Linked DNA regions of Arabidopsis thaliana. The protein of the gene in region 1 purifies or fractionates together with the protein of each later gene. This does not show direct contact. Each region holds a gene or a part of one and is shown in the gene's direction. Other genes may lie near its edges.

The links.
Region 2: the proteins of GR1 (region 1) and AT5G17380 fractionate together in Arabidopsis thaliana (co-fractionation; one large-scale study listed by BioGRID). This does not show direct contact.
Region 3: the proteins of GR1 (region 1) and AT3G62510 fractionate together in Arabidopsis thaliana (co-fractionation; one large-scale study listed by BioGRID). This does not show direct contact.
Region 4: the proteins of GR1 (region 1) and AT2G45290 fractionate together in Arabidopsis thaliana (co-fractionation; one large-scale study listed by BioGRID). This does not show direct contact.

Annotation. Positions count from the first base shown.
Region 1 is NC_003074.8:8,728,168-8,738,027, reverse strand, and holds GR1 (glutathione-disulfide reductase), read left to right. Parts: upstream 1-3,403; 5' UTR 3,404-3,710; exon of another isoform or gene 3,711-3,786; intron 3,787-3,885; 5' UTR 3,886-3,912; coding exon 3,913-4,062; intron 4,063-4,165; coding exon 4,166-4,230; intron 4,231-4,316; coding exon 4,317-4,386; intron 4,387-4,593; coding exon 4,594-4,665; intron 4,666-5,170; coding exon 5,171-5,374; intron 5,375-5,596; coding exon 5,597-5,670; intron 5,671-5,762; coding exon 5,763-5,846; intron 5,847-5,934; coding exon 5,935-6,022; intron 6,023-6,131; coding exon 6,132-6,213; intron 6,214-6,543; coding exon 6,544-6,617; intron 6,618-6,733; coding exon 6,734-6,841; intron 6,842-6,977; coding exon 6,978-7,042; intron 7,043-7,386; coding exon 7,387-7,500; intron 7,501-7,654; coding exon 7,655-7,754; intron 7,755-8,022; coding exon 8,023-8,076; intron 8,077-8,170; coding exon 8,171-8,266; 3' UTR 8,267-8,674; downstream 8,675-9,860. Other genes in the region: AT3G24180 (Beta-glucosidase, GBA2 type family protein), read left to right, coding at 82-266, 832-899, 1,086-1,158, 1,240-1,301, 1,440-2,655, 2,765-3,017; PMP (putative type 1 membrane protein), read right to left, coding at 9,005-9,073, 9,235-9,443, 9,588-9,690.
Region 2 is NC_003076.8:5,722,911-5,729,661, reverse strand, and holds AT5G17380 (Thiamine pyrophosphate dependent pyruvate decarboxylase family protein), read left to right. Parts: upstream 1-2,749; 5' UTR 2,750-2,941; coding exon 2,942-4,345; intron 4,346-4,427; coding exon 4,428-4,742; 3' UTR 4,743-4,903; downstream 4,904-6,751. Other genes in the region: ER-ANT1 (endoplasmic reticulum-adenine nucleotide transporter 1), read left to right, coding at 1-280, 363-647; AT5G17390 (Adenine nucleotide alpha hydrolases-like superfamily protein), read right to left, coding at 974-1,270, 1,376-1,461, 1,548-2,022; AT5G17370 (Transducin/WD40 repeat-like superfamily protein), read left to right, coding at 4,943-5,009, 5,109-5,233, 5,374-5,517, 5,602-5,732, 5,887-6,111, 6,188-6,348, 6,505-6,605. UniProt on the Arabidopsis thaliana protein: Catalyzes a carbon-carbon cleavage reaction; cleaves a 2-hydroxy-3-methylacyl-CoA into formyl-CoA and a 2-methyl-branched fatty aldehyde.
Region 3 is NC_003074.8:23,120,533-23,125,835, forward strand, and holds AT3G62510 (disulfide isomerase-like protein), read left to right. Parts: upstream 1-2,298; 5' UTR 2,299-2,320; exon of another isoform or gene 2,321-2,656; intron 2,657-2,803; 5' UTR 2,804-2,805; coding exon 2,806-2,928; intron 2,929-3,023; coding exon 3,024-3,242; 3' UTR 3,243-3,259; downstream 3,260-5,303. Other genes in the region: AT3G62500 (F-box protein RMF), read left to right, coding at 1-422, 629-745, 820-852, 965-1,135, 1,235-1,342, 1,440-1,509, 1,597-1,662, 1,748-1,834 and 1 more.
Region 4 is NC_003071.7:18,668,948-18,677,410, forward strand, and holds AT2G45290 (Transketolase), read left to right. Parts: upstream 1-3,549; 5' UTR 3,550-3,789; coding exon 3,790-4,272; intron 4,273-4,454; coding exon 4,455-4,545; intron 4,546-4,634; coding exon 4,635-4,740; intron 4,741-4,822; coding exon 4,823-5,105; intron 5,106-5,194; coding exon 5,195-5,343; intron 5,344-5,437; coding exon 5,438-5,591; intron 5,592-5,682; coding exon 5,683-6,642; 3' UTR 6,643-7,504; downstream 7,505-8,463. Other genes in the region: GCP1 (glycoprotease 1), read left to right, coding at 58-146, 242-385; RAD51C (RAS associated with diabetes protein 51C), read left to right, coding at 1,156-1,402, 1,543-1,629, 1,732-1,854, 1,937-1,970, 2,053-2,123, 2,202-2,428, 2,539-2,670, 2,756-2,822 and 1 more.

The DNA of each region.
Region 1 (9,860 bases):
TCAATTTGTAAGACCTTTGGTTTAATATATATGGTGTCATTTTAATAAATGAGACTAAAGTTGCGATATTTAACCTACAAGGATGGGAAATTTGATCAAGAAAACTTCAATAGCGGGCCAAGCACACCTTCATTAGCTGGAGACACTATTTGTGCAGCAGTCTCGGCTTCGGCATGGGTAGAAGCTCATGGCAAGTGCACTGTGTCTTTTGCACTTTCATGGTCATCGCCAAAAGTGAAATTTTCAAAGGGAAGCACATATGACAGGTAAATAAAGTACAACCTTTGTAGCCTCTTCCCAACAAGTTAAGTTGGTTCTTTGATAATCGTTATCACCAACTTATTTTCATATGATCAATGTTGTCTTAAAGTTGGCTACTTGTTCTGTCCATTGCATCAGTTTTCTGTGTTGTTTGTAGTTTACATCTTTTCTCAGTAATGCTGGATCTGCTTCTAAGTCCAGAATCTTGAAGACGCTCTCAGTTATGTGTTTTATATATTTTTAAAGAGAAGAATAACTCTGAGAGAGAAAGATAGTTCTAGGCAAGCTAAAGATAAAGCATAGTGCCTGGCACTAGTTGTACACATAGAAAATGCTCAAGCAAACGTAGGTTAATACTTCAGCATTAAATAGAGGGAAGCATAAATTTTCCCTTTTGGGTGTCATTTGTTTAACAAAGCTTAAACCCATGGCCGAATTGAGTGTATGGAATACATGCTTTGAGAAGCTACCAATATATTAATGTGTATACGCTGTTGATTTTCTGTCTTTGGTTATACACTGTTGATTTCTGGGTTCTGTTTTCTGTCTTTTTCCGTCTTTGGTTTGCAGGAGATACACTAAATTTTATGGTACTTCGCCAAGAGCAGCGTTGGACCTTGTGCATGATGCACTGACAAGTATGTATTTGTGGTGCTGATGTTCATGTGTCATATGCTTCACTTAAGTTGCCACCCTGTATGGATGTATACCTGATAATGTTGTTAACTGAAATTGTTCCATGTTACACATACACACAATTTGTCTTCCGTTTTACGTGGAATAGTGCTTATGCATTATTGACCAGCATCGGTTTTCAACTTCAGATTATAAGAGGTGGGAGGAAGATATTGAAGCATGGCAGAATCCCATTCTCAGAGATGAAAGGCTCCCTGAGTGGTAATTGCTTTGGAACCTAATAGATCTTTGAATACTTTGCTCTCTCACCGTTCTGCCCTGAACTATTTTGTATTTTTGTAGGTACAAGTTCACTCTGTTCAATGAGCTTTACTTTTTGGTTGCCGGTGGTACAGTTTGGATAGGTACACATCTATACGCTTCTTCAAAGTCAAACTCTTGATTGTAAAATTGTGTTCTTCGCTTTTAACAAAATTTTGTTGTTTCATTATTTTGGTGCCTTGAAATTATTGTATCACCTTATCAACGGTTTTTGGTTGCAGACTCTTCTTCACTCAATGCTAATGGGAATAGTCAGCATCAACAATCGGGATTAGGAAATTCAGATGGTAAGGTCGGTGGACTTGACATTAATGATCAACGGAATGACCTTGGTAATGGCAACAGCGTTGGAGTAAAAAGCAATGATGAAGTATCAGCCATTCATAACCGGAATGGTTTATTTGTCGATACTCCCCATGTAGATGATGGCGATGATGTTGGTCGGTTTCTGTATTTGGAAGGTGTGGAGTATGTGATGTGGTGCACATATGATGTACACTTTTACGCATCATATGCGCTCCTTATGCTATTCCCAAAGATCGAACTAAACATCCAGCGTGATTTTGCGAAAGCCGTGTTGTCTGAAGATGGTAGGAAGGTTAAGTTCCTGGCAGAAGGAAATGTGGGAATTCGCAAGGTCAGAGGTGCTGTTCCTCACGATCTGGGGATGCATGATCCTTGGAATGAAATGAATGCCTACAACATACATGACACAAGCAGGTGGAAGGATCTGAACCCAAAGTTTGTGCTTCAGGTGTATAGAGATTTTGCAGCTACAGGGGATTACCAATTTGGAATAGACGTGTGGCCCGCAGTTCGTGCTGCTATGGAGTACATGGAACAGTTTGATAGAGACAATGACGATCTAATAGAGAATGATGGTTTCCCAGATCAGACATATGATACATGGACTGTTCATGGCGTGAGTGCCTACTGCGGTTGCCTGTGGCTGGCTGCTCTTCAAGCTGCAGCAGCAATGGCTCTCCAAATTGGTGACAAATTCTTTGCAGAACTTTGTAAAAATAAGTTTTTGAATGCAAAGGCAGCACTGGAAACGAAACTCTGGAATGGATCATACTTCAATTACGACAGTGGGTCAAGCAGCAACAGCAAATCTATACAGACCGATCAGCTGGCGGGTCAATGGTATGCCGCGTCTTCAGGTCTGCCTCCATTATTTGAGGAATCCAAAATCAGAAGCACTATGCAAAAGATCTTTGATTTCAATGTGATGAAGACAAAAGGAGGTAAAATGGGTGCTGTAAATGGGATGCATCCGGATGGGAAAGTGGATGACACGTGCATGCAGTCTCGTGAGATATGGACAGGTGTTACTTATGCAGCTGCGGCTACTATGATCCTCTCTGGAATGGAAGAACAAGGTTTCACCACTGCTGAGGGAATTTTCACAGCTGGCTGGTCAGAAGAAGGTTTCGGGTAAGTTTTCTTTCTTCTTTATATCCAGTCTGTTAATTGTTTCGATATCACACACACATAGATATACTCGAGCATGATGATGATGTATCTTTGTTGAACCGAATAACAGATATTGGTTCCAGACACCGGAAGGTTGGACAATGGATGGGCATTACCGGTCACTGATATACATGAGACCGCTCGCGATATGGGGAATGCAATGGGCATTATCGTTGCCAAAGGCAATTCTGGACGCTCCACAGATCAACATGATGGACAGAGTACACTTATCCCCTAGAAGCCGAAGATTCTCGAACAACTTCAAAGTTGTGAAACACAAGGCAAAGTGTTTTGGTAATTCAGCATTAAGCTGTTCTTGCTAAATCATTCGGTCTTGTTATATATAAGATACAAGTAAATTCACATCTCTGATATGATTATCGGAGTAACATATATAAAAAAGAGGAAATGTTATTTAAGGAGAGGAACTAGCCGACATAGTTCCTGAGTTGTAATAATATTAATAGAGAGGAGTATGTGGGAAAAGTTTCCATAAAAAGATGATGGAAACGTAAATGTTGTTCAACATTTTGGTGTGGAGGTGACTTGACTCTTGTTTTGTTTAGATAATAAATAATAATCTGAGAAGAACAATTTGTGTTCTTCTTTTCTTCTGTTGGTTTTGAATTATTGGCTAAAAGAAAAGCCACGTAAGAGCATATAATGACAACGCCTACGTACGCTTTTTAGCGTTCAATTTAGACCTTAAGTTTTGAAAGATTCCATGTCTTCGTTTTAAAAGTCGCTTTCAATTGTTTGAGCATATGTTTCGTAGGGAGCACTAAGTTGGTATACATAAAGGTATTGATCAATCTAAAAAACTCAATGGTTTAATTATATTAATGACTTTAGCCTAAAAAAACTTAAGTCAGTGTAAAACAATATCGATGTGTGATTAAGAAGAGATCCAATTTAACATTACCCACACAATCATTTGATTATTTCCTCCTCTCCGTATCTGTGTCTCTCTTCTCTTGATCTTTTAGTGTTCTTGCTTTGTCGCTTCAACGCTTAAGGTAACACTGCTTCTTCTTTGATATTCGCGATTCATCGAACGATTTCATCATTATAGACAAACATCCTATCGATCGGGTTTGTTTTTGCTGATTCGAGATTCACTGTTTGTTAGTTTCATTTCGTTATTTTGCTTCATGTGGTGTTGATTGATTATTCGATTTTCTTTTTTGGCAGTTTGGATTTGTGTGAGTCTGCATAATCATGGCGAGGAAGATGCTTGTTGATGGTGAGATTGATAAGGTGGCGGCTGATGAAGCCAACGCGACGCACTATGATTTTGATTTGTTTGTCATCGGTGCCGGGAGTGGCGGTGTTCGTGCTGCTAGGTTTTCGGCTAATCATGGCGCTAAGGTCTGAATTATTTTTGAGGATAGTGATGATCTCTAGACATTAGTGTATGTCTGGTTTTGGTATTAATGTGTTGTTGTTGTTTGTTCTGAATCAATTGTTGTAGGTTGGTATTTGTGAGCTTCCATTTCACCCTATTAGCTCTGAGGAGATTGGAGGCGTTGGTGGAACGTAAGTTCCTTGTTGATGCATTATCAAACGTTGGAATCTTACACGATCTTATACCTTTATTTGTTTCCACTTTTTTTGGCTTTCAGCTGTGTTATCCGTGGTTGTGTTCCTAAAAAGATTCTCGTCTATGGAGCTACTTACGGTGGTGAACTTGAGGTATGAACCATGTTTTTTAATCATCATTTCAATGTCTTTCTTTAAGCTGTAAAAGCAAACTTCTTAATAGTCATTTTCCCTAGCAATATTTGCAAAATTGTATTCATGTTCCTAAATTATTGTTTAGGCTATATGTCTATGAACAATTCATGTCAACTGAGAGAGAATTGTGTTTGATGATGTATACTGTTGTTTAACTGCTGGCAGGATGCTAAAAATTATGGGTGGGAAATAAATGAGAAAGTCGACTTCACATGGAAGAAGCTTTTGCAAAAGAAGGTATGCAGGAATTGCTATAATGCTTACGTATTCTTATTTTTCAGTAATTGAGTGAAATATTTCTTGATACACTTGCACCAGTTGCTCGAAGTTATCCCAATGAAATCAGCTTATTGTAAAACGATTAGCGTTGTAGCTTTCTCCTTGACACTGTAATATCTTCCTTTGATCTTTAAGTTGTGAAGAAATTATGGTTGAAACTATTTCAAGAAAGTGACCTTTAGGTTAATATTTTTGGATGTTTTGGTTGTAATAGCAGTATAGTGTCTTGGATTTCTCACAATGAGAAACTACTAAAACTCTGGGATGTATAAGCATTGATATTTTTCCGCAACCTACTGAAGATACTTATATTATTGTTTTGTCAAGTATGAAAGTTAGATGGTGGGGAATGGTTTTTTGCTGCTATAGTTTTTTCTAGTGTGCTCAGTAGATTGGATATTTTTGCGATGTAACTAATTCGGTCATAAATAATCAATTACTGTCTTTAATTCCTTCTGTGCAGACTGATGAGATACTAAGACTGAATAATATCTACAAGCGGTTATTGGCAAATGCTGCGGTGAAATTGTATGAAGGTGAAGGAAGAGTAGTTGGTCCCAACGAAGTGGAGGTGAGACAAATAGATGGCACAAAAATAAGTTATACCGCAAAGCACATATTGATTGCCACTGGCAGTCGGGCGCAAAAGCCTAATATTCCTGGACATGTAAGTTTCTGTGTTCATGTTATTTTTTTTATCTACTATAGTGTGATGTGCTTGGTATTTATGAAATCATTATCTTCAGAGTAAGTCCGGAAAGATTTTAATAGAAATAACAGACACATCTGTATGTTTGCAATATGATTTCTCTAAATTAGTCTGTGAGAAAAACTATTAACTGCTATTTATGGAAAGTCCACTGAGTTATACATAAACTGTCTTTTATAGGAGCTGGCTATTACATCTGATGAAGCTTTGAGCTTGGAAGAATTTCCCAAGCGTGCTATAGTGCTTGGAGGAGGGTAATGTCTTCCTCAATGTTTTCCTCCTGCTGTACCTAACATGCCAGCTGTTTCAATGGTTTAATCCTCGTTTCTATTTACGTTTTAATTAGGTATATTGCTGTGGAGTTTGCATCAATATGGCGTGGAATGGGTGCTACTGTAGATTTATTCTTCAGGAAGGAACTTCCGCTAAGGTGCTGGTTCTCTGTCAAATTATGTTGAATAACTGAAAGTCCATCTCTTTGTTTTAGCTTCTTTTCTTTCTAAAACTCTACTTTTCAGGGGTTTTGATGACGAAATGAGGGCACTAGTTGCTAGAAATCTTGAAGGAAGGGGCGTTAATCTGCATCCACAAACAAGTTTGACTCAGGTATCTGAATATGATTATTACTTTTCATGTCTCATTACTATATACGTTCTTTTCACTTGTTTCATGAGTTCATAGTACTTTACTGAACATACACTATCTTTCCATTTAGTTGACAAAAACAGACCAGGGGATCAAAGTCATATCGTCCCATGGGGAGGAATTCGTGGCAGATGTCGTCCTATTTGCTACTGGTAAATTTTCTGTTACGTGATTCTCAAATTTCGTTTGTTTATAATAGAGTACTTTTATCTCTGTTCTCTTCTACTCTAATACATGTTCCTCTGCGTGGATTTTTGGGTTTACGGAACAGTAGGTTTCTTCATTCTGTTTTTCGATAGTTGTATGTTTGTGCGGGTTTTGCTTCCTCCCTTGAACTTAATTTTTGAGGAATCTACTTATTATTGAAATGGAGCATGATTGGTATTTTGGTGTTAAAATTCCTGAATTATTGTAGACCAGGAAGCTCTGTAGCTTTACCTCCAGCTGTCTAAGGATGTATCTTTTGTTTATATTTGATACAGGCAGAAGTCCTAATACCAAAAGATTGAATTTAGAAGCTGTTGGTGTTGAACTTGATCAGGCTGGAGCTGTGAAGGTTTTAACAATTTCCTAAATTTGCAGATACTAAAATTTATCCTGAATAAAGTTTTCCGTGACTTTCTGGGGAAACATTCTCCTCTTGCAGCTACTAATTCAGTACATTATCCTCAGGTTGACGAGTATTCACGAACTAATATACCTAGCATATGGGCTGTAGGAGATGCCACAAACCGAATTAACCTTACACCTGTTGCGTTAATGGAGGCCACCTGTTTTGCGGTCTGTGCCTCTTATCTTGCACATATAATTTACACAAACCTTTCGAGGAGTTGTACCTACCACCAACTATTTCAGCTTTTGTGTTTGGGAATGTCTACTTATGTATTCCATTTGTGGATTGTTTTGATGCTTGCAGAACACTGCTTTTGGTGGAAAGCCTACTAAAGCAGAATACAGCAATGTCGCCTGTGCTGTATTTTGGTAAGTATTCTTTCTGATAGGATGAAAGTTTGCTTTATTTGTGTGTCATATTGCAGGCACTAGTTACCTCAAACTATGTGTATTGTGTCCCGGAACAATTCTCCACAAACTATGTGATCTTTAAAATGTGAATATCAAACTCTGAAAATATCTGAAAGTACTCCACAAACATTTCTCCTATATTGGCATATGTTTTTACTGTATAGCCCCAATATTATCATAATTATAGAGTTACTCCACAAACATATCTGCTACTCTGGAAATATCAGTATTCTCATAGTTATATAGATATTACATTTTCTAAATATTTTTTATTTTTATTTTTGTTTCCTTATGTCTTCCAGCATACCACCACTAGCTGTAGTGGGTCTCAGCGAAGAAGAAGCAGTAGAACAAGCAACCGGTGATATTCTGGTCTTCACCTCAGGCTTTAATCCAATGAAGAACACCATTTCTGGGTATGCAAGCATTGAAAGTTCTTTTCTTTTTTTTTTTGTCTAAAGCATTGAAAGTTCTAAGTTTTAGAAAATCCTTAGAAAAGTTCTTGATTTTCTTCAATATGCTTGCACCTGATCACTCTTTGAACTAATCACTAAATTATTTTGGTTATAGACGCCAGGAAAAGACATTGATGAAGCTAATAGTTGATGAGAAGAGTGATAAGGTTATTGGAGCATCCATGTGCGGTCCTGATGCAGCTGAGATCATGCAGGCAAGTTTTCCTTTATAGTAGCTTCTACCATTTATTTTACTTCCCTTTAGCTGCTCTACTGAGTGGTGCATAGGTGTCAAGAACAAAAATCATTTACAGGGTAGCTGAAAGATTTGGGTTGATTAAAGACGATTGCATGTCTGAATTTTTCTTCTAACCATATAGAACCTGATTTGAGTTTGAGAAGTATTTAGTATTGTAAATGGATTAGAGTTTGATCCGAAGCGTGTCTTGATTTTAAGTGATTATATTGTATGGCTTAATGCAGGGGATTGCAATTGCGCTCAAGTGTGGAGCAACCAAAGCACAATTTGATAGCACGGTAAGTCATACGTCTTCCAAGCACTTGGGTTTCACTTTCACCAGTTTGATGTTTGCTCTAACTAAAGATAATTAATATTGTGAACAAAACACAGGTTGGGATACATCCATCTTCTGCAGAGGAATTTGTGACAATGCGCAGTGTGACCAGACGCATTGCCCACAAACCCAAACCTAAGACAAATCTATGAACCGCAAAATATAAAGAGCTATATAGCATGAAAACTCGGTACACTTAATTTGATCAAAGAGTCAGACAACGATGAGTTTAATCATACTCGTGTCCCAATAAAGGATTTGTAATTTTTGTTTGTTTGTATGATGCTTCTCTTCTTACTTACTTGAGAAAACATCAAGGTTTCTTCTCTTATTGCTTAGTGGAACTTTATTACAAAGAATTATTCTATGAACCCCTCTTGGTCATATCATTTACTTCAGTTCTGTACTCGCATATGGTCTACTAAGTAATAACTAGAACCAAATCGAACTATATTGAATCAAACTGAACTAATAGAGGTCGATGGTGACATTTGTAAATGAGCAGCCTAATGATGCTGTCTTATGCAAAACAAAGCTCCTGGAGAAGTTGCAATAATATATTCAGATTCATGATCAAAAGCTCTTACAGAGACAGAAGATACACATCAAGTGTCCAAAGTGGTCTTTTATTATTAGGACTGAGACTCAAAATGTATGTAAGAAAGAAAATAATTATAAGTCGAGAATGCAACCAATATGGCAATATACACATAACACATCAACTGCTCTGACCACCAAAAGTTTCATCCTTCTCTTTAAACATTCAAATGACACCGGTTTCAAAGGCGGCCAGTTGAGAAACACGGCTTGATACACACAAAAATATGTAAACGAACGACCTGTAGAGAAAATCAGTGTCCTTTTGCCGTTTTGAAGCTCTGTTTCATTTCTTAGTCGAGCTTTACATTTGAATATAGAAGAGTATCCTTCGTCAAAGGCATGTTCATAAGGAAGTATACCTGCAACCAACATGACAAGTACGTCAACTTCGAGTGACTTAATACATTCAGTTTTCAAACTACGATTGAGTTCTTCAATAGGCCACTTTAGGTGGAAACATTCAACTTTACATTGGCCAAAGAATCTGCTTGGTAGTAGACTAGTAGTAATGAGATCTTACCCCAAGGATAGTTGCAATGAGAAGAATGATTCCAGTCAACCATGCAAGAGTCAGCCTAACAAGTATAACCTCAGCGATAATGGCTGCACTTGGAATTCCCTCCACTTCCACCATTGAGCGTGCAGATGAACGGGAAGACCCAAAGTTCAAAAGATTTTCTGATTCTTGGTTTACTCTCTCATCAAGGACGATAACCCCAACAATTTGGCCTACAAGAGCCAATACATCTCTCAGCTTACATAAATTCAGTTAAGAAAAAAGACAAATGTTCCAGAGAATGAGTTCCCCATCTTGAACTACTTTCTAACACATATCTTTGAAAACGAGTTTATTAAATCAGAGAGACAATTCACCTTTATGAGATGTCTCCAACAGATTGAATAGCTTTGATAATGTGGAAAGTAATACATCCATCCCTTGCTTAGCCATACCTTGTCCATACTCCTGTGCTAAAGCCTATAATTTCCAGAAAGAATAAATTATATTAGAGACATTGACAACCTTTGCAAACAAATATAAGCTAAGTACAATAACATGATGGTTGAACAATTAGACATTTTCAATGAAAAATAAACTCAAGATATAAACTCATTACAAGGTCCTTATCAGCCTTGCAATCCTTGGAT
Region 2 (6,751 bases), on another chromosome or scaffold:
AGCTTCGGGAAGTGCTGCTGGAGCAACAACTTCCTTGTTTCTGTACCATTTGGATTATGCGCGGACCCGTTTAGGCACTGATGCAAAGGAATGTTCTGTTAATGGCAAGAGACAGTTTAAAGGGATGATCGATGTGTATCGTAAAACTTTGTCAAGTGACGGTATTAAAGGTCTTTACCGTGGATTTGGTGTGTCAATAGTGGGAATCACTCTTTACCGAGGAATGTATTTTGGGATGTACGACACCATCAAACCCATTGTGTTAGTCGGTTCCTTAGAGGTAATGTCATCTATGTATGCCGTTATTATTTCTTAATCTATAGCAGAAAATAGCTAAAAATGGTTCTTTGATTCCGTGACAGGGAAACTTCTTGGCTAGTTTTCTATTGGGTTGGAGTATTACTACCTCTGCAGGCGTCATTGCTTACCCTTTTGACACACTTAGGAGGAGAATGATGCTTACATCAGGACAACCTGTTAAATACCGGAACACCATTCATGCCTTAAGAGAGATATTGAAGTCGGAAGGGTTCTATGCGCTATATAGAGGAGTTACTGCGAACATGCTTCTTGGAGTAGCAGGAGCAGGAGTGCTTGCGGGATATGATCAGCTTCACCAGATTGCTTATAAGCATTGGGTTCAGTAGTTTTGGACCAAACCCGAAACGATGACAATGAAAGCTGAGCTCAAAAAGAGAAGGTTAGTAAACACCAAGAAGTCTCACTTGCTTTCCAATGTATTGTGTTAATTAACAGAATCTCGGAATCATTAACCGATTGAACCAGCAGAAGATAGGGAAAATTGTTCATAGTTCTTGTGCAGTAACATTGTTATATCAATAATCCAAGAAAGGCCTATTTGATTTTTGTGTACTGGAGCAAGTTTGTTTCATGTATAAAAGATGAAATAGGTGAAAAAATTTTAAAGCCTTATGAATGATACAAACACAAAAGAGGAAAACTTGCGTTGTTGTCAAGCGAGAAGCCAGAAGTTTTTGTGGCGTTTGGTGGTGATTAAGTAACCGCCGAGCTTGCGGTTCTTGGGTTTAACCGCGATTGTCATGCAAGAGGCGTTTTCGAGGCAGTATTTGAGAACACCTTCGTGTCCACGGCGTCTCTTCCACGCCCATCTCTTCAATAGCCTCCAGACCGGAGGTTTCTTCTCTTGTCCAACCACTAAAAGGCTCACTTGTTGTTTCTTTGATTCTTCAACTATCTTCTGCCCTTTGTCTTTGTCTTTCCCCTCTAACCTCCTTATCTCCACTTCTATCTGACATTCATAAAAGAAATCCACACGTCGCCAGAATTTGATCAGAACAGTAATAGTGTAGCTTTCATTATATGTATAAACAATCGAATACCAAGTGTGACTCACCCCGGGTCGTTTCGTTTGGCACAGTTTCTTTAAAGTATGGACCAATTCATCGGTTTTCACCTCGCGTTTTCGGTTCTTCCTTTTACCTAAAACTCAATCCGAAAAACCTCATTAGCCAAACCAAACAAACCTTAAACAAGAAAATTGACAAAGAGGAGAGAAAGAGAAGAACTTTTTCTAAACGGTTTTGCAAAGTATAACAGAAAAAGAGTGTCTTGTGGTTGTAAAGTATGCGTAATAGCCCATTCTAAAGCTCCGGTAGAAGCAAGCGCTTTATCAACCACCACCATTACTCTATTCCCGCCTTCCGCCTCCTCCTCAACCGCCTCAACCGCTGCCACCGCCTCTTTTTTTCCTTCTCCGCCTCCAATGTTAAAGCTCTTGGCATCATCTTGTTCTTTTTCTTCTTCCTCCTCTACAATTACTTTGACTCTTTCTTCTTCCTTATCTTCAACCTCTTCACTTTCATTGTTTGCTTCTTTGGTGTCTTCTTCTCCGGATCCGGCATCATCACCATTTTCGCCTAGAAACTCGATTCTTTGGTCTCTCTCTATGGAACTCGAGTCCGGTTTGAACCTAATCGAAGGTGAATTGATCCGGACTCTTCTTAGACTCAACTTGGCTGATTTCTTGAGCGATCTCGCCATGTTTTTGTTTACAAAAAGAACTCAAATGGGAACCTTAGCATTGGTTCTTGAATGTTTTGAGCGTATGTATACGTGAGGAAATTTTTTGAGAGAGGACGTGCGTGCCATTAAAGATGTTTGATTGTTAATGGTTCCACACGTTGTTGTTTTTTTCTTTTTGTCAAGCTCTTCTGTTTTCTTCATTAAATTAAACGAGTCCAAGTTTATTTGATAAATTGTTAGCTCAATCGATTGTGGAATTCACTACCGTTGGAGAAAAAAAAATTTATTTTGTAGACTCGCAAAATCATGAGAAATCTTTGAGTGGTGCTCTAGTTTTGTCGTGGTCAAAATCATCCACTTTGTGTAAAAGAACAAATCCAAATTTGATTTGTTTTCTTTGCTAACTACAAAACAATTCTAGTGGCAGCCCTCAAGGGTTATACAAGGTCACTTGTTCCAAACCATGAACTCATAAATTTATCATTTTATCACATCCAAATCCAAATTATTGAGAAGATTAGGTAAGTAGGAGTCGCTAGTGACCAAAACCAAAGATATATTTTATTGAATCACTAAATCACAATACCTTTGTAAATTAAGTTATCTGTCATACTACTTTGTTATTGAATAATGTAAGTTGCCAAAAATAAAGAAATTCATGTATAGTTTGGTCGTATAATCAATTTGTTGAGAATTTTACTATTTGCTACGTAGATAACTTTTAAATTAGCAAAACACACATAATTACGTGTACAAGTTTGTAGATAAAATTTTCAGAGAACACACAAAATGCAAATAAAGAAGTCAATAATAGGCTAATAGTAGCATTAATGCAAAACACGTAATCACAGTAAGAGTAAAACACAAATACAAAAGGCTATATAAAGAAACTAAAGCAAGTAGAAGAAACTGAAACTTTGAGCAAATCCAAGAGAACATGGCGGATAAATCAGAAACCACTCCACCGTCAATTGATGGCAACGTTCTCGTGGCCAAGTCACTCTCTCATCTCGGCGTAACCCACATGTTCGGCGTCGTTGGAATCCCCGTCACGTCTCTAGCTAGCCGAGCTATGGCTTTAGGTATACGTTTCATCGCCTTCCACAACGAACAATCCGCTGGTTACGCCGCTTCAGCTTACGGTTACCTCACGGGTAAACCGGGTATCCTTTTAACGGTTTCGGGTCCGGGTTGTGTTCATGGGCTCGCGGGTCTTTCCAACGCTTGGGTTAATACATGGCCGATGGTGATGATCTCTGGTTCTTGTGATCAGAGAGATGTTGGTCGTGGAGATTTCCAGGAGCTTGATCAGATCGAAGCGGTTAAAGCTTTCTCGAAATTATCAGAGAAAGCGAAAGATGTTCGTGAAATCCCTGATTGTGTTTCTAGGGTTTTGGATCGAGCTGTTTCGGGTCGACCCGGTGGGTGTTATCTGGATATTCCGACTGATGTGTTGCGTCAGAAGATATCGGAATCGGAAGCTGATAAATTGGTGGATGAGGTTGAGAGATCACGGAAGGAAGAACCGATTCGTGGATCTCTGAGATCGGAGATTGAATCGGCGGTTTCGTTGCTGAGGAAAGCTGAGAGGCCGTTGATTGTGTTTGGTAAAGGAGCTGCGTATTCGAGAGCAGAAGATGAGCTGAAGAAGCTTGTTGAAATTACTGGAATACCCTTTTTACCAACTCCGATGGGTAAAGGTTTGTTACCGGACACACACGAGTTCTCGGCGACTGCGGCGAGGTCTCTTGCTATTGGGAAATGTGATGTCGCGTTGGTGGTTGGAGCTAGGCTTAACTGGCTTCTTCATTTCGGAGAGTCGCCTAAATGGGATAAAGATGTAAAATTTATATTGGTGGATGTCTCTGAGGAAGAGATTGAGCTAAGGAAACCTCATTTGGGGATTGTTGGAGATGCTAAAACTGTGATTGGATTGTTGAATAGAGAGATCAAAGACGATCCTTTTTGTTTAGGGAAGTCTAATTCATGGGTGGAATCGATTTCGAAGAAGGCGAAAGAGAATGGTGAGAAGATGGAGATACAGCTTGCTAAAGATGTGGTTCCTTTCAATTTCTTGACTCCTATGAGGATAATCAGAGACGCTATTTTGGCTGTGGAAGGACCGAGTCCTGTTGTGGTATCGGAAGGAGCTAATACAATGGATGTAGGAAGATCTGTTTTGGTTCAGAAAGAGCCAAGGACAAGGCTTGATGCAGGAACTTGGGGAACTATGGGTGTTGGTTTAGGTTATTGTATTGCTGCTGCTGTTGCTTCTCCTGATCGGCTTGTTGTCGCTGTTGAAGGAGACTCTGGTTTTGGCTTCAGCGCCATGGAAGTCGAGGTAGTAAAAAGATTTACATACTTATTAGCATAATGTGGAAATTGTCTTTTGTCTGAACTTTTGTCTTTAATGATGATTGCAGACATTGGTTCGATACAATCTTGCTGTGGTGATTATAGTCTTCAACAATGGTGGTGTCTACGGCGGTGATCGAAGGGGACCTGAAGAAATCTCCGGTCCTCATAAAGAAGATCCAGCACCAACATCATTTGTTCCTAATGCAGGCTACCACAAGCTCATTGAAGCCTTTGGAGGCAAAGGTTATATTGTGGAAACACCCGATGAGCTTAAATCCGCTCTCGCTGAGTCGTTCGCCGCAAGAAAACCCGCGGTGGTAAATGTTATTATTGATCCTTTTGCTGGTGCTGAGAGTGGGAGATTACAGCACAAGAACTAAAAAGCTTTGTGGAGAGTCCCTTTAAATAATGTTGAAGTTGTTTGTTGTGAACAAAAAGGATATACGTTTTAGTTTTCTGTTTTTCACTATTGTAAACCGGATCATAAACCGGTCCATTTTAAACCATAATTGAATAAAAACACGTTTCCGGTTCAATTCTTAAAACCTAAAGCTATTTATATGGCGCATGTTAGCCTTTAATGGTGTCTGATGAGAAAGAACACAGAGAACAGAGTCGACTCCAAGTCCGACACAACATGAAACCAGGTCTGAATCTTCTTCCTCGACGGATTCTTCTATTTTCGATTGCGTATCCGAGATTTTGATGTGGGAATTTGGTTTATCTTTGATTTTTTTTTTTTTCAGAACTTCCTGGGTTTTATTACGACGAGGAGAAGAACAGATATTTTCCCATTAAAGGTCCTATCCCTGGTGCAAAGTCTTCTTCTTCTTCAAGAACGAAACAAAAACCCGAGCCAAAGCCTGAACAGGTCAGTTTACTACAAATTCAACTTTTTCAAGTTTATGTAGTAAAGGTCGAGTCTTGCAGAATCAATGAGAATTCTCCAATCTTCTCTAGCTTGAACTTGTTTATGTAAATCAGTGATTAGTTATATGGAAATTGCATCAGGAAACTAATTATCAGAAGAGGACTAAACTAAAAGCATTGAAGCTAGTTTATTCCCGAGAGTTAAATGGCAATGTTATTTCTGTCAACAAGAAGATGTCTAACTTCAGGGACGAGATTCAAAAGACACAAGCTTCTTATCCTGTGGTAATTACCACCTAGAATAACTTAACCTTTTTGTTTCTTATTTAAGAGTACAGAAGACAGATATGAAACATTTCTTATGTTTAGGTATGGAGATACGGATCCACAGAAGACATTGGCGATACCGCTTTGAAACAGTTTCAGGTTGATGTACAAACACCTGTAGGCTTGACCAGAAAGAACATCCTAGTAGCAGGCAGTGCTGGTGGTTGCTTGAGGTATGTATTAGTCAGCTTCTTGGAATTATTGGTTTTTATGGATGTTCAAAACTGGACTATGAAACTTTATGTATTTCCATTTATTGAAGAGTTAGTAGAGCTGTTTAAATTATTTGCAGGCCAACTTATATGCTTTGGAAGTTTTTTTTTGCAGCATTCTAAGAGTTTCCAAAGATAGACAAGTATACGATGGTGTAATCGAGTGTGATCCAGTTTCTGTTCTTCCTTGCAAAGAAAACGATACAGAAGAGAGGGAAGCACCTGAGCATATATTGAGACCTACGCAACCTTGTCTGGTCGCCTTATCTTCTATATCTTCTATTGAGTTAATCGGAAGATCTGATGCATCTGAAAACTCCCACCCCGTAAACCGGGCATTGTATCCTTTAAATGTGTCTTATCTTTTACTCTCGGTCTTGATTTCCCATTTGTAAAACCTTGACATGAGAAAACAGAATAACTACATTGGGATCAACTGGCCGTGGGTCGATTTTTATCTTAAATGTTGCTGAGGAAGTGAACATACTTACTCCGCGAAGCCTCCAAGGGAATGTTTCCTCTGAGTGTACCATTTGGACATCTGATTGCAATATAAGTGGGAGTCATGCAGCTATTGGTACCTTCTCTTTCTTACGATGTTATATTTTTGTCACCCAAGATTTTACTTTATTACAGTTACAGTTATACCTAGAGAGCAAATGCATTTTTCTGTAAATGGACTCGGTTCAAGAATCATATGGAAATTATTAAAAGATTTTTTGATAAATTACAGGTACCGACTTAGGAGCTGGTTTGGTTGATTTGGAAACAGGAGTAGGTTCATACTTTCTTCGAAGCAAAAGCGATGTTTTTGCTCTACAATTTCATCAATCGGTAAAGTTCTCTTAATTCCAAGCTCCGAGATGCATCGTTTTCTAGCGGCTCGATACTGTTTCTTAGTTGAGTATATAACTCCAGCTAACTTGCTGTCTGAACCTCCCTTCTGACAAGTCAAAGTCATGTCTTCATTTTTAACTGAA
Region 3 (5,303 bases), about 14 Mb from region 1:
GAAGAGACAACGAGCAAGCGTTGATCAACCATGTAGCAGAGAACCCGGAGTTCTAACAAGTAGCTCAAGCTCCTTGACCAGTAGAGAAGAATCTCAACAAGTGTGCTCTGACCAGTCCAAGTCTTCGCGTGGCAGAGTTCGAGCGGTTCCTTCAAGGTTCAGGGACTCCATTGTTGGTACATGGAAATCCTTGAAGAGTCGCAAGGAAGAGTCGACGGAGACATGTATCTGGGGAAGCTCGAAATTGCATCGAAGCAAAGACCCGAAGCTGTTTCCACGTAAGGATAACGAAGACAGCAGCGAAGTAGATTGCGATTACTGGGATGCTAACTTTGGTATGCCGAAAAAGTCCGACGCCTCGCGTAAGGGCGTGTACAAACCAGAGGAATTTACAGTCGGCGATCTTGTCTGGGCCGGCTGTGGTACAAGCGCCTGATGGGGTCTTGAAACATTGCGTCCCTGGCGCAATACGTGTCATGTTTTTTGGGTACTCTAAATGGAAAAAAATTGTCAATTGTCAAAAAGTCGTGTTAAATATAGATGTATTGTACAGATCTTTGACTTTGAAGTACTTCATTTGCTGATCACAGCCTCATCTTTATCTGTTTTTTTTACACTGTAATTATAGATTGGATGCCGATTGGTGCCTTTGTGCTTGATTCTCGAACTTCACTCCTGACTGAGAGTTTGAGTGGTCGCCTGAAAGTCCCAAAGGAAGGAACCATAGAACGGATGTTACAAAAATGTCTTATTCATGATCTTCAGAAACTTTGTCAACTGCAGGAAAAACTGTAACATATGGCTTATCTCATTTTCCAGATTTACAGCTTGTGCGACCTGTTTGTGACCTCAGTACCTGTGAGGTAAAAGACACTAATCAACTCTAATCTGTTGCTGAAACTTTTGTATTGATCTCTTGCAATAACTAAATTGCAACTAAGAGTGTTTCTGTTTTACTATGTAGGAACAATGCAAACTCTTGATGCTAGGCACATTGAACTCTTCCTTAGTGAAGGCTACAAAGATGGAAGCTGGGACTACAATCTGATTGGATCTCATAAGTTGCAGAAAAACGCAAGTGCAGCTTGTGGAGCCATATTTGACCTCAAACACCATAAAGAATCTTCATCCTCAGGTAACTTCAAATCTTCATTACTGTTATGTTCCTTTACTTCTCCTCTTTGAATCATTCTCCTTTGTCTCATACAAATTTCACATGAAACCTCTATAATAGGTATTCTCAACCTCAAGTCTTGGACCGGACAGCCAGATATTTCCCAACCTAAAGCAGTTATCGCACCCCATGCAGTTGCTGTTCACACAAGATTGCGAGAAAACGAAGGTATATAACTTTGCATCATCAACCATCTTTATCTAGAAAACACAATTACAAATAATTCTCTTGCCAAAAGGAATTGAATCCAAATTTGTTGTTTCAGTTGCGGAAATCCAATCAGTATTGTGGCATTTGCAAGAGAGTATGGCAGCCCTTCAAATGATGGAGATTGGGTGAGAATATATGTGACCATGTTTGGTGAAATACAGACCTGTAAGAAATGATTACATCTATTTAGCTGACTTGATTTGATGTATTAGGTTTATTGTGATGAGTGTGATGTATGGCCGTATGGGTGCGACAATAATTTATATAAGCGCTTTAAGGTACACCTTCATGCATCTTAACTTTTGATTCTAAGTAATGAACACGCTTGTTGAACTATCACACTAATTTGGTTATCATCTTAAGGAACTGGAGCACAACAGTTACTATTGCCCTAACTGTAAAGTCCAGCATGAGCTTATCAATATTAGAAGAACAGAACTCAGTGTTCAAGTATATTGTTAACTTCTCATGTTCTCCTGATTTTATTGTTTGCATTTCTCCATTGCTATAATATGCGAGATTTCCTCACAACCTCTTTGGGATTGGTCTACAGAAAAGGCGACACAGACTGAGCTGCCTGATGAGATTAATGTAGTCTGTAATGGCATGGAAGGAACATATATCAGAGCATTTCATGCGTACGTATTAGATGTCTCAGCCTTATTTCAATTTCTTCATTTAGAAAGGATCTTATTTGTTTATGAATTATGACTATGCAGCACAATATCGTAAATTGATTTTTTCTCTGAAAACGATAAAAAATCCGTGTTTAATCCTAGGTTTCTGTTATCATTGTCTTGTTGTTTTAGAGATTTGACCAACACATTAATCTTTGAACTATTGTTTCAGAATTGAGTGCAAGTGTGGTTCATGTGGGTCAAGGAAGCAGTCACCAAGTGAATGGGAACGGCATACAGGCTGTAGATACTAGATAGCGTAAGAGTGAAAGACACAATGCTACCTCTAGAAAAATGGCTTTGCATGAAGACTTTGATACTATATGTATCTGTATATGTAGAAGAGTATCAGTTTTATCTAAATGACTAGTCTCCAAATTTGTGGTTTATTGATTTCGTCAGAATGGTAGGCTCTTTAACTGATTTAAGGTGAAAACTACATTGGTCTTTGTTCAGTGTTAGATTTGTCTTTTGTGGGTTTGGAATGGATTAAAGAGGAGTCTTTTACTGGATTTTGTTGAATGCTAGATTTGGGTTTAGTAAACAATGAATCCTTTACTGGTTTTGAAGGATGTTATATTTGAAACTGATTAGAGCTAAACCCTCTATTGCTTAGTGGTTCTTAATTTAAGGGTTTTGCCGCAGCTTCCCTAATTTAAGCTTGTTTTCTAATACAAAGTACAAAAGCAGTGTGTTCGTCAACTATCTTCTTACTCTGTTTTCGTTTAGAGAGTTTTTGCAGAGATGAGGAGAACTATAACAATGGTGATAAAGATGTCAATACTTATGATATTGATTTCATCAATGGTGATGAATATGGTCGAGGTTGAGGTTGACCAGATTGAATCATGGGTCAAGGACTTCCAGGTTTCATTCTCTTTTTCACACATTCACACAAGCTTTATGTAAAAGAAGTATATATGAAATCAATATAACCTAACCAAAGAAAATGTTTTCTCTAGGATGGAAAAGCTGCTGTCCACAAAAATTCTCAACCTATTCCAGCTGAGAACAACGAACCAGTGAAGCTTGTTGTCGCCGAGAGCCTTGACGACATAGTTCAGGTCAGCGAGCGGAAACGTTGTAGTATACGAAGGAGACAGGACAAAGGAAGACTTCATAGTTCAGGGTTGGTGATACTAGCAGAAGATGATGAGGAAGAACACGAAAAGATGGATTAGTTAAAGCTTCCAAAAACTGAATCAAAACAATCATTATTACATTAGTTTGTGGTTGTGGATTAGCAATGTTTAAGTAGTTTGATCTATCAATCTCCTGAATTTCTAGATTGCAGATATTTTATCTCATTTTGCTGTCTCACTTGATTCGTGGGTTATATTGCTTAATTTGATTTAAACTCTGTTTTGTGTGGTTACATAGGACTCTGTTTCGCCTGTGTATAGGAAGAGAGTAATGACGTTGAGTGTACAGAGTTGGAGAAGGGTTTCGAGAAAAAATTGTAATTCTTGAATTCGTCTCAGCTTGAGAATAGTGAGTCCATGGACTTTTACCGGATATGAGTTGTACAATGCAGAGACTGATCCCGAACTGAAAGCTGTTATGAGAGGACATGGGAAAAGCCATTGGCTTCGTTTGACCGGAAAGAATTTATGAGTAGTAAGTAGCATATCTAAAGTAAACGCCATGCAAACAAAGAAAACAATGATGAAGATATAAGAGCATCCACATTGGTGGGCTTTTAGCAAATGTTCTTAACAATAATTTTATAATTTATTTTGAAGTTAAGAGTTTTGATAAGAGTTTTTTTTTTTTAAGAGTGTATTTTGTCTCTTATATAAGAGCAAAATCTTAGGCCTGGGCATTTTAACCGAACCGAACCGAACCGACCCGACTCAACCGAACTCAAACCGATCCAAACCAAACCCAATCTAAGACTCAAACAATTCGGTTGTATTTTATCTCAACCCAAATGGGTCGGTTCGGTTCGGTTTTGAACCAAACCGAACCGACAACCCAATGTCTTTATATACTTAATTAATTAATTCTATAAATAATATTACAAATAACTCTAAATATTTATTTATCTCTAACTAAAACTCTAACCCTAAAAAGTAAAAACCTAAGGTTTACTTCTAACTTCGTTTCATTTGTTCTTCCGTCGTCTCTCTCTACTCTCTACAGCCACGGTATGATTTTTAACTACTCTCTAGCAATACAATTACGCTCATCTCAATTTTAGTTAAATATTATGAGTATATGATGATTTTTTCAATCTGTACGTACACCGCAAAGTCATGGAAAAGAAAAATCTGTGTTTGCGTTGTCTTGTTTCTTCTATTTACTTAGATTTTTTAATTTTTAAGAATAGGTTTCATGTAGGTTGGGTGATTTTGTTTGTTTACAATATATATAATATATTTTAGCATTCATACCAATAATCAATGGATTTTCGTGCAAGAAAACAGATCATACATGTTTATTTAGTTTACTAATAATGAAAGATGTTTTAATAGAAACGTAATTGTATTCTTTCAATTGACTAACAATTTTATACATGTTTTGTTTGTAGATGTCTAAAAGAAACACGACTAGCAATAAAAGAAAAGAACCCGAGTCTCCAACAGTGTCGCCAAAGGCAAAAAGAAAACTACCTACAAGATCAACAGCATGGAAAGTCTTTACGAGGTTGAAAGATGATGATAATAGTTGCTCATGCAATTATTGTGGTAAAATCTATTCATGTAATCCTGCTACATGTGGAACCAGCAATATGAACACACACATGAGAAAGTGCAAAGCTTATTTGGATCATCTTGAATCTAATTCTCAGAATGTCATAGTCTCTAGTGGTGGTGGTAATGGTGCTGGCATGATAAAACCTTTTGATCAAAACGTGTGTAGGCAAGCAACGGTGAAAATGATTATCATGGACGAGTTGTCGTTTTCTTTTGTGGAGAATGATGGGTTTAAACATTTTTGTGAGATGGCTGTCCCTTGGTTTACTATTCCATCGCGAAGAACAATTACTAGGGATGTTGTTGGTCTGTACAGAGCTGAAAAAACTGCATTGAAGACTATTTTAAGTCGTAATAGGCAGGCCATGTCGTTTACCACTGACATATGGACTTCTATTACGACATTGAGTTATATGGTCGTTACTGCTCATTTTATTGACATGGATTGGCAATTGCATAGAAGAATTATTAGTTTTAGTCCTATTCCTGATCATAAGGGAAAGACCATCGCCAATCAGTTTTTAAGATCTTTGGATGATTGGGGTA
Region 4 (8,463 bases), on another chromosome or scaffold:
TGATCAAATTAGAGACACAGAGAATAGAAACTAACAAGTATTCATTAGTCTCACCAGGAGTAATGGTGGCTTGGACTGGTCTCGAGCATTTTCGTGTAGGAAGATATGATCCACCTCCACCTGCAACTGAACCTGAGGATTATGTGGTACTTTTTCTTAACAAAACTCGGTACTTGTAAAGATTCTATTGTTTGAAAAACTGATAACTTGGAGATTGATGTTTTGTTGGTTATGAATTTAGTATGATCTTCGACCGAGGTGGCCTCTTGGCGAGGAGTATGCGAAAGGAAGAAGCGAAGCTCGTTCTATGAGAACTGCACGGATCCATCCGTCACTTACTTCAATCATTAGAGCAGATTCTCTTCAACAACAAACACAAACGTAGCAAGAAGATTGTCTCCTGTAACTTAAAACCAGATATCCAAATCCTTGTATTCTTTTCACTGAGGAACAAACGCTTTTCCGGTTAATTTAATTTCGTTCAATCATTGGTCCCGGTTAACCTAAACCGTGTCTGGTTCATTATACTTTTTAGTTTATTCCTAGTTCCAACATTAAATGGCGCCAACATTGAGGAGAAAAAAAGAAGCTTGCAGAGATCAATTTTTCTCTAAAGATTCAGTGGCCGTGAGGAATTCTTTCAGCTTCAACATATGCTCTAATCTTCTCAGGCAGGGAGTAATGATGCCTTTGCTCGTCCATGGAAAGTCATGGGACGTCTTTTATCGATAAATCGGTTGTGGAGCGGAGTGTTCTGTAGCTTCGAGGCGGTCAGAGATGGATTTCCGGTCAAGAAGATGTGGAGAAGACCAATCGATTGTCACAGAGTCTGTTCTGCTAAGGAGTTTTCAAATGGATTTGAAGAAAAATGGCAGGCTTCATTGTTTTAAGGTTGTTGGTCTCAAATCCATTTGTATCTTTGCCCATTTTGGGCTTTAAATGAAAAGTTGTTCGACGAAAAAAAAAGGGAAAAAAATTAAAAAAACGTAAAAAAAGTTGCAAATATGGATCGAACTCACGACATTAGTAAAATTTAGATGTCGTTGAACCACTAGACTACTGAGAATTATACGATTTTTAATCCAATAGTTTTTAAATATTGATTCAACGATAGGGAGTTAAAAGACTTTCATCGTTATATATGTGGCGCCAACAATGATTTCATTTGGGCGGCGTAAATCGCCGGCGATTGAAGAAACTTCACTCGCGACTTCAGTCATGGAGGCATGGAGGTTACCGTTATCGCCTTCGATTAGAGGAAAACTGATATCGGCCGGTTATACTTGTCTGTCTTCGATTGCTTCCGTCTCTTCTTCTGATCTCGCTCGAGGTAAATTTCTGCTTTACCCTAATCTTAGAAGATTAGAATCTGTTGCTCGTTTTTCTCTGATTAGCACAGACAGTACACCTCAATTGATTAGTCCTTGGGTTGATAATTAGGGTTCTATTTAGTCTCTTGTTTAAGGCTTATTTCTGGAATAATTCTATATATGTGTGTGTGTGTGTTTTGAGTCATCTTTGATATCGTTGGTGTGTGAGTAGATGCAAATATCACAGAGGAGGAAGCATTTGAGATTTTGAAGCTGGCTAATCAAAGTTGTTGCAATGGAAGCCGTTCACTCATAAATGGTAACTTGATGAACTCCTCCTTGGAGCTATGTTGGTGGTTTTTCTCCTTCTTAAATGGTTCACTCAAGGATTCTCTTTATGAAATTTTGTGACTAAACAAAGGAGCAAAGAACGCTTGGGATATGCTTCACGAGGAGGAGTCTTTGCCGCGTATTACTACATCTTGCTCTGATCTTGATAACATTTTGGGCGGTGGAATTAGCTGTAGGGATGTTACAGAGATTGGTATGTCATCTCCATTATCATTCTTTCTCTGGTCCAATTTGAGATCATTAAGTGATTTAGTGGTTTGCTTATTTTCTCAAAGGTGGGGTACCAGGGATTGGCAAGACTCAGATTGGGTAAATCCGCTTCACTGCTTTCCTCTACTTTCTCATCATCATCAGAGTGTTTCCTCTTCTGTTAACTTCGATCTGGTTTCAGGATCCAGCTCTCTGTGAATGTTCAGATTCCACGTGAGTGTGGTGGTCTTGGAGGGAAAGCTATATATATCGGTATGTTTCTTTTAGTAGTGATGACTAATGCCTTGGTTGATCACTTACTTGGTTGTTAATGCTTTTTGTATGCTACAGATACAGAAGGTAGCTTCATGGTGGAGCGTGCTTTACAGATAGCAGAAGCTTGTGTAGAGGACATGGAAGAATACACAGGATACATGCATAAACATTTTCAAGCAAATCAAGTACAAATGAAACCAGAAGATATCTTAGAGAACATATTCTACTTCCGTGTCTGCAGTTACACCGAGCAAATCGCATTGGTCAATCATCTTGAAAAGTTCATCTCTGAAAACAAAGATGTAGGTATAATAATTTTGAAGTTCCATCCCGTTGATTTGCTGCTACAAGTGTATATTGTGACATAATTCGGCGGCTCACTAAGACTCTCTTTAATCTTTCATGGTTGCAGGTTAAAGTTGTAATCGTAGACAGTATCACCTTTCATTTCCGTCAGGACTATGATGACTTAGCCCAGAGGACACGAGTGCTCAGCGAAATGGCTTTAAAGTTCATGAAGCTTGCCAAAAAGTTCTCACTTGCGGTAAGAAGAAATGATCTAATTCACAATACAATCCTTGACTAGCTTAAGTGGAGGTTCCTAATCAACTCTTATGATCCAATCTCAGGTCGTGTTACTAAACCAGGTGACCACAAAGTTTAGTGAAGGCTCGTTTCAACTAGCGCTTGCTTTAGGTGAGCCAAACTCAAATCTACCATCTCAGTTTGCTATTATCATCATCATCATTCATTTGTTATGATACTTAAATGGTCAACTTGTGCTGTTTTCAGGCGATAGCTGGTCTCATTCGTGCACCAACCGAGTCATTCTGTATTGGAATGGTGATGAGCGTTACGCATATATCGATAAGTCCCCTTCACTTCCTTCAGCTTCGGCTTCATACACTGTAACCAGTAGAGGTCTAAGAAACTCATCCTCGAGTAGCAAGCGAGTCAAGATGATGTAATGACACACCACGACACAGTCACAAGGACATGAGTAAGCTTTCTCCGGTTTAGTTTTGGTTCAGTTCTTGATTCCATTAAACTGCATGAGTTTTTTTCGGCCCAATTGTTTCATAAAGCCCAAATGGGCAAATATTCGGTACAAAAGAAGGTCATAAGAAGGCCCACTAATTGCAAACATAACAAGAAAAAATGAGCAAAATAAAGACACGTGCTATGCAACGTGGGATGTTGAGAGAAAAAAAGGTTTCGTCAGCTACGCCGTCACCGACTGGGTCAATACCGGAGTTGGTGAATTGGTGACTAAAATGTATTTCCTAAATCTAAAGCAATTTTGCCCCCAAAAAAAAAAAAAATCTAAAGTAATTAGGTTCTTCACCAACCCTTGTCATAACCATGGCTTTTGCTTAACACACCAACCATGCCGCATTGTCAATCTATTTTTTACTTAAATTAAATTATTATTTTAATAATTAGCGTAAAAAGCAATGATTAGTTGAAAATTAAACAAAAGAATTAGATTCGAAAAATTGTTAAAGCCATAGAGCATCACAGCCGTCAAGATTGTGTCCTTTCTGAATCCAACGGTCAGATCGAGATCTCATTGGTTTATTAATAGCAACAGTCTCCTAAAATAGGTTTGCAGAGAAGCTTTCTCTTCTATTTTCTCTCTCTCAGTTAACCAGAGAGAGCATCAATGGCTTCTACTTCTTCTCTAGCGCTCTCACAAGCTCTCCTTACACGAGCCATCTCTCACAATGGCTCTGAAAACTGCGTCTCTATACCAGCTTTCTCTGCTCTCAAATCCACTTCTCCACGCACCAGTGGCACCATCTCTTCCCGTCGACGAAACGCCTCCACGATCAGTCACTCTCTCCGCCCTCTGGTTCGTGCAGCCGCCGTAGAGGCAATCGTGACAAGTTCTGATTCGTCCCTGGTTGATAAGTCGGTGAACACGATCAGGTTTCTGGCAATAGATGCGGTTGAGAAGGCGAAATCAGGTCATCCAGGTCTTCCTATGGGCTGTGCTCCGATGTCTCACATTTTGTACGATGAAGTCATGAAGTATAACCCCAAGAATCCTTACTGGTTTAACCGTGATCGTTTCGTTCTCTCTGCTGGACATGGATGCATGTTGCAATACGCTCTGCTTCACCTTGCTGGCTACGACAGCGTTAGGGTTTGTGTTCTCTTACTCTGCTTATTAAGTTTGTATCCTTTTAGTTTACATTATTGAGATTACATAGTAAATACACAGATTGTTCCGTTTCCCTGCTCATTTGGTGATTTTTGGAGTCTTGAGATTTAGAATTGTAGAACCAACTTAAGATTTGCTGAAGCAGTGTTGAAGTTTTTTATTAGGAGGAAGATTTGAAGAGCTTCCGTCAATGGGGAAGTAAGACTCCAGGACATCCTGAGAATTTTGAGACTCCTGGTGTTGAAGCCACTACTGGTTAGTTAGATTTTCTCTGCTTCTTTTGTGTGTTTTAGTTGATGTTGATCTTTTGTAATATAGCATTGCTTGTATTTGCCAACATGCAGGTCCTCTTGGACAAGGTATTGCAAATGCTGTTGGTTTAGCTCTTGCGGAGAAGCATTTGGCTGCTAGATTTAACAAACCTGACAATGAGATTGTTGACCACTACACGTAAGATTTTGACTCCTTCAACGGCACTTTTATTGTTATCTTTCTTGGATTGTGATGTTGTAAACTGACTGCTTTGGATTAGGTATTCGATTCTTGGAGATGGTTGTCAGATGGAAGGGATTTCAAATGAAGTTTGCTCTCTAGCTGGTCACTGGGGACTTGGAAAGCTAATCGCTTTCTACGATGACAATCACATTTCCATTGATGGAGACACAGATATTGCTTTTACCGAGAGCGTGGACAAACGCTTTGAAGCTCTTGGATGGCATGTTATCTGGGTAAAGAATGGAAACAATGGTTATGATGAGATCCGTGCTGCCATTAGGGAAGCTAAGGCTGTAACAGACAAGCCCACTTTGATTAAGGTATCTGCACACTTTTTTTAGCCATGAACTCATTAAGCAACGTTTGATCTCATGGCCTTTGGTGTTAATTGTTTTGTGGCATGGTTTAGGTCACTACTACAATTGGTTATGGTTCTCCCAACAAGGCAAACTCATACAGTGTCCATGGAGCTGCGCTTGGTGAGAAGGAAGTTGAGGCTACCCGAAACAATCTTGGGTGGCCATATGAGCCGTTCCATGTACCTGAGGATGTCAAAAGGTAAGTAGAACTTAACTATGCACTTCTATTTATGGTTATGGTTGTGGTATGAGAACCTGCTTTGGTAATTTACTATAATTCTTATGTTTTCTAGCCATTGGAGCCGTCACACGCCCGAAGGGGCTGCTCTTGAAGCTGATTGGAATGCCAAATTTGCAGCTTATGAGAAGAAATATCCGGAGGAAGCTGCAGAGTTGAAATCTATTATCTCAGGTGAATTGCCCGTTGGTTGGGAGAAGGCACTTCCTGTAAGTAGAACTTTCTGGTAATCTATAACGTTTTATCAGTATTCTTCATATATAAGGCTCTTATTTTAGGCAACTTAAAATTTTCATTTAGACATATACACCAGACTCTCCGGGTGATGCCACCAGAAACCTGTCTCAGCAATGTCTTAACGCACTTGCGAAAGCTGTGCCTGGTTTTCTTGGTGGGAGTGCTGACCTTGCATCTTCCAACATGACAATGCTTAAAGCATTCGGCAACTTCCAAAAAGCCACACCTGAAGAAAGAAACCTTAGATTTGGTGTCAGGGAACATGGTATGGGAGCTATCTGCAACGGCATTGCCCTTCACAGCCCCGGTTTTATCCCTTACTGCGCAACTTTCTTTGTGTTTACTGACTATATGAGAGCTGCAATGAGAATCTCGGCTTTGTCTGAAGCTGGTGTTATATACGTTATGACCCATGACTCCATTGGTCTTGGAGAAGATGGACCAACCCACCAACCCATCGAACACTTATCCAGTTTCCGTGCCATGCCCAATATTATGATGTTCCGTCCAGCTGATGGGAACGAAACAGCCGGTGCATACAAAATCGCTGTCACAAAACGTAAGACACCTTCTGTCTTAGCCTTATCTAGACAAAAGCTGCCTCAACTTCCAGGAACATCTATTGAGAGCGTCGAGAAAGGTGGATACACCATTTCTGACAACTCAACCGGTAACAAACCCGATGTGATCTTGATCGGAACTGGATCAGAGCTAGAGATTGCTGCTCAAGCTGCAGAGAAGTTAAGGGAACAAGGCAAAAGTGTGAGAGTTGTTTCCTTTGTATGTTGGGAGCTTTTCGACGAGCAATCAGATGCATACAAGGAAAGTGTTTTGCCATCTGATGTATCAGCTAGAGTTAGTATCGAAGCTGGATCGACTTTTGGATGGGGAAAGATCGTCGGAGGAAAAGGGAAATCGATTGGAATTGATACGTTTGGAGCAAGTGCACCAGCAGGAAAGCTTTATAAAGAGTTTGGTATCACCATTGAAGCTATGGTTGAAGCAGCCAAGTCACTTATTTAAAAAAGTATCTTACAGGTACTACCGAGGTTTGCATTTGAAGTAAGAGACATTCCATAAGCATTATCTTCTTTGTCCAAATAAAAATATACTCCTTCCAATCTTTTTATAAATGATGTTTAAAGCTTTCATTTTGGTTTTTAAATAAATGATGTTTTAAATTTTCAATGCAAAATTATTTTTATTGGTTGATTAAATAAATGATGTTTTAGGCTTTTATTTATATTTTTATTGTTTTCTTGTAATTAACATAGTTTTGATCTTTGTAAACAACAACTCTATTGTACTTTTATTCTTGATTAGTTGATTTTATTTCGCAAAGACATGTAATCCTTACATGTTAATTGCAATCGTCTCAACTAGTCTTACATCTACTTTGTAGTCTAATTGGTTGACACAAAAGGAATTTACGGAATTCTGTCTAGAATCTTTCCATTTTTGCTTACAAATATGGCACAACCGGAAATTCCCTTACTTATTTATGGAAAAACAAAAGTGTCATGTGTTATATATATTGGTCCCTTTTTATGTTTGTAGGGCTATCACTACCAATCCACAATGGAAGATTCACAACCGTGTACATCACGTAACCTAGATCATGCCGAAAACTCCACAGCAAGCATTCCTCTTAAACTCATCTTCGAAATACTATCGAGGCTTTCGACGAAATTTATCATCAGATTCCGATCCGTGTCGATGCTGTGACGCTCTATCATCGATAGTAAAGATTTCGTCGACGCCTTTCTGAATCCTCTTTTTTCAATGAAGACTCTTTTTTTAGTCCGCTTTATGGAATAATACTTATGTTTTAACGTAATGAATCTTTATATCTATTTGTATTTTTCAGTTACACTTTTGTTTGGACGTTTTGTTTTCAAAGAACTTCTCAAGTTTTCTTTTCCTTTTTTCTTCTTGTAGTTTGCCTTGCTCGTTGGTGAATACACTACATTAATTGAGGGCACTTGCGATTATGATGTTCTCCCGCGTGAAAGAGCATTGACCTCTCTTTTATTCAAAACATCACATAACAGAGAGTCTGTGAGGTTTGGGACATCGCATTCTCAAATCTCAATATAAGTGGTTTTGGTCGAATGCTAGAAAAGGGTGACTTGTATGTTGTGTCGCCGCTAGTGTTCGTACATACAGTTTATGATCTAACGTATCTATAACATATTATTAATAGATATTATTTTGTTTTAATTTTGCACATTGTTTATAAATTAAGTGCAAAAATTTTTAGCTCCAAGAGATCGCCTTTGCTAATCAATAAAATTGAACGCATTTAATAAAATTGTAAGAGCAAACTCGCACTGATACGTAGAATAAATTTGTTGCTTTTGCCTTCACGACACCATTACCTATAGTTAATACTCCAAAAGAAATAGCAGATTCAACATACAACGTGCAAGACCAAAAAACAAATGACTCGTAATCTCCAGAGAATCATAATTCATAACATGGGAGATTGTCCACAAAAAACATAAATTCCCTTTCATGTCTTTTTGTTAGAAAACCCATTTCTTAAGGCCCAACAAAAAACATAATCCCCTTTCATGTCTTTTTGTTAGAAACCCCATTTATCTTTCTTGAGGCCCAATTTGAAAACCCACATTTTCTTTCACCTAACCCACCAAAGCCTTTGCACATGTTGACGTGAACACCAAACTAACACGTGTCATACTGCCAGTGGTTATGATAAATGCTCATACCATACCAGAGTCATAGAGTTTTTGGTTGGTGAAAGATTTGACGGATGCCTTCTTCTCATTTCTCACCAACTCCCTCCAAACCCAACAAAAGTGTTTATATTAGCAAAGCCGCCAA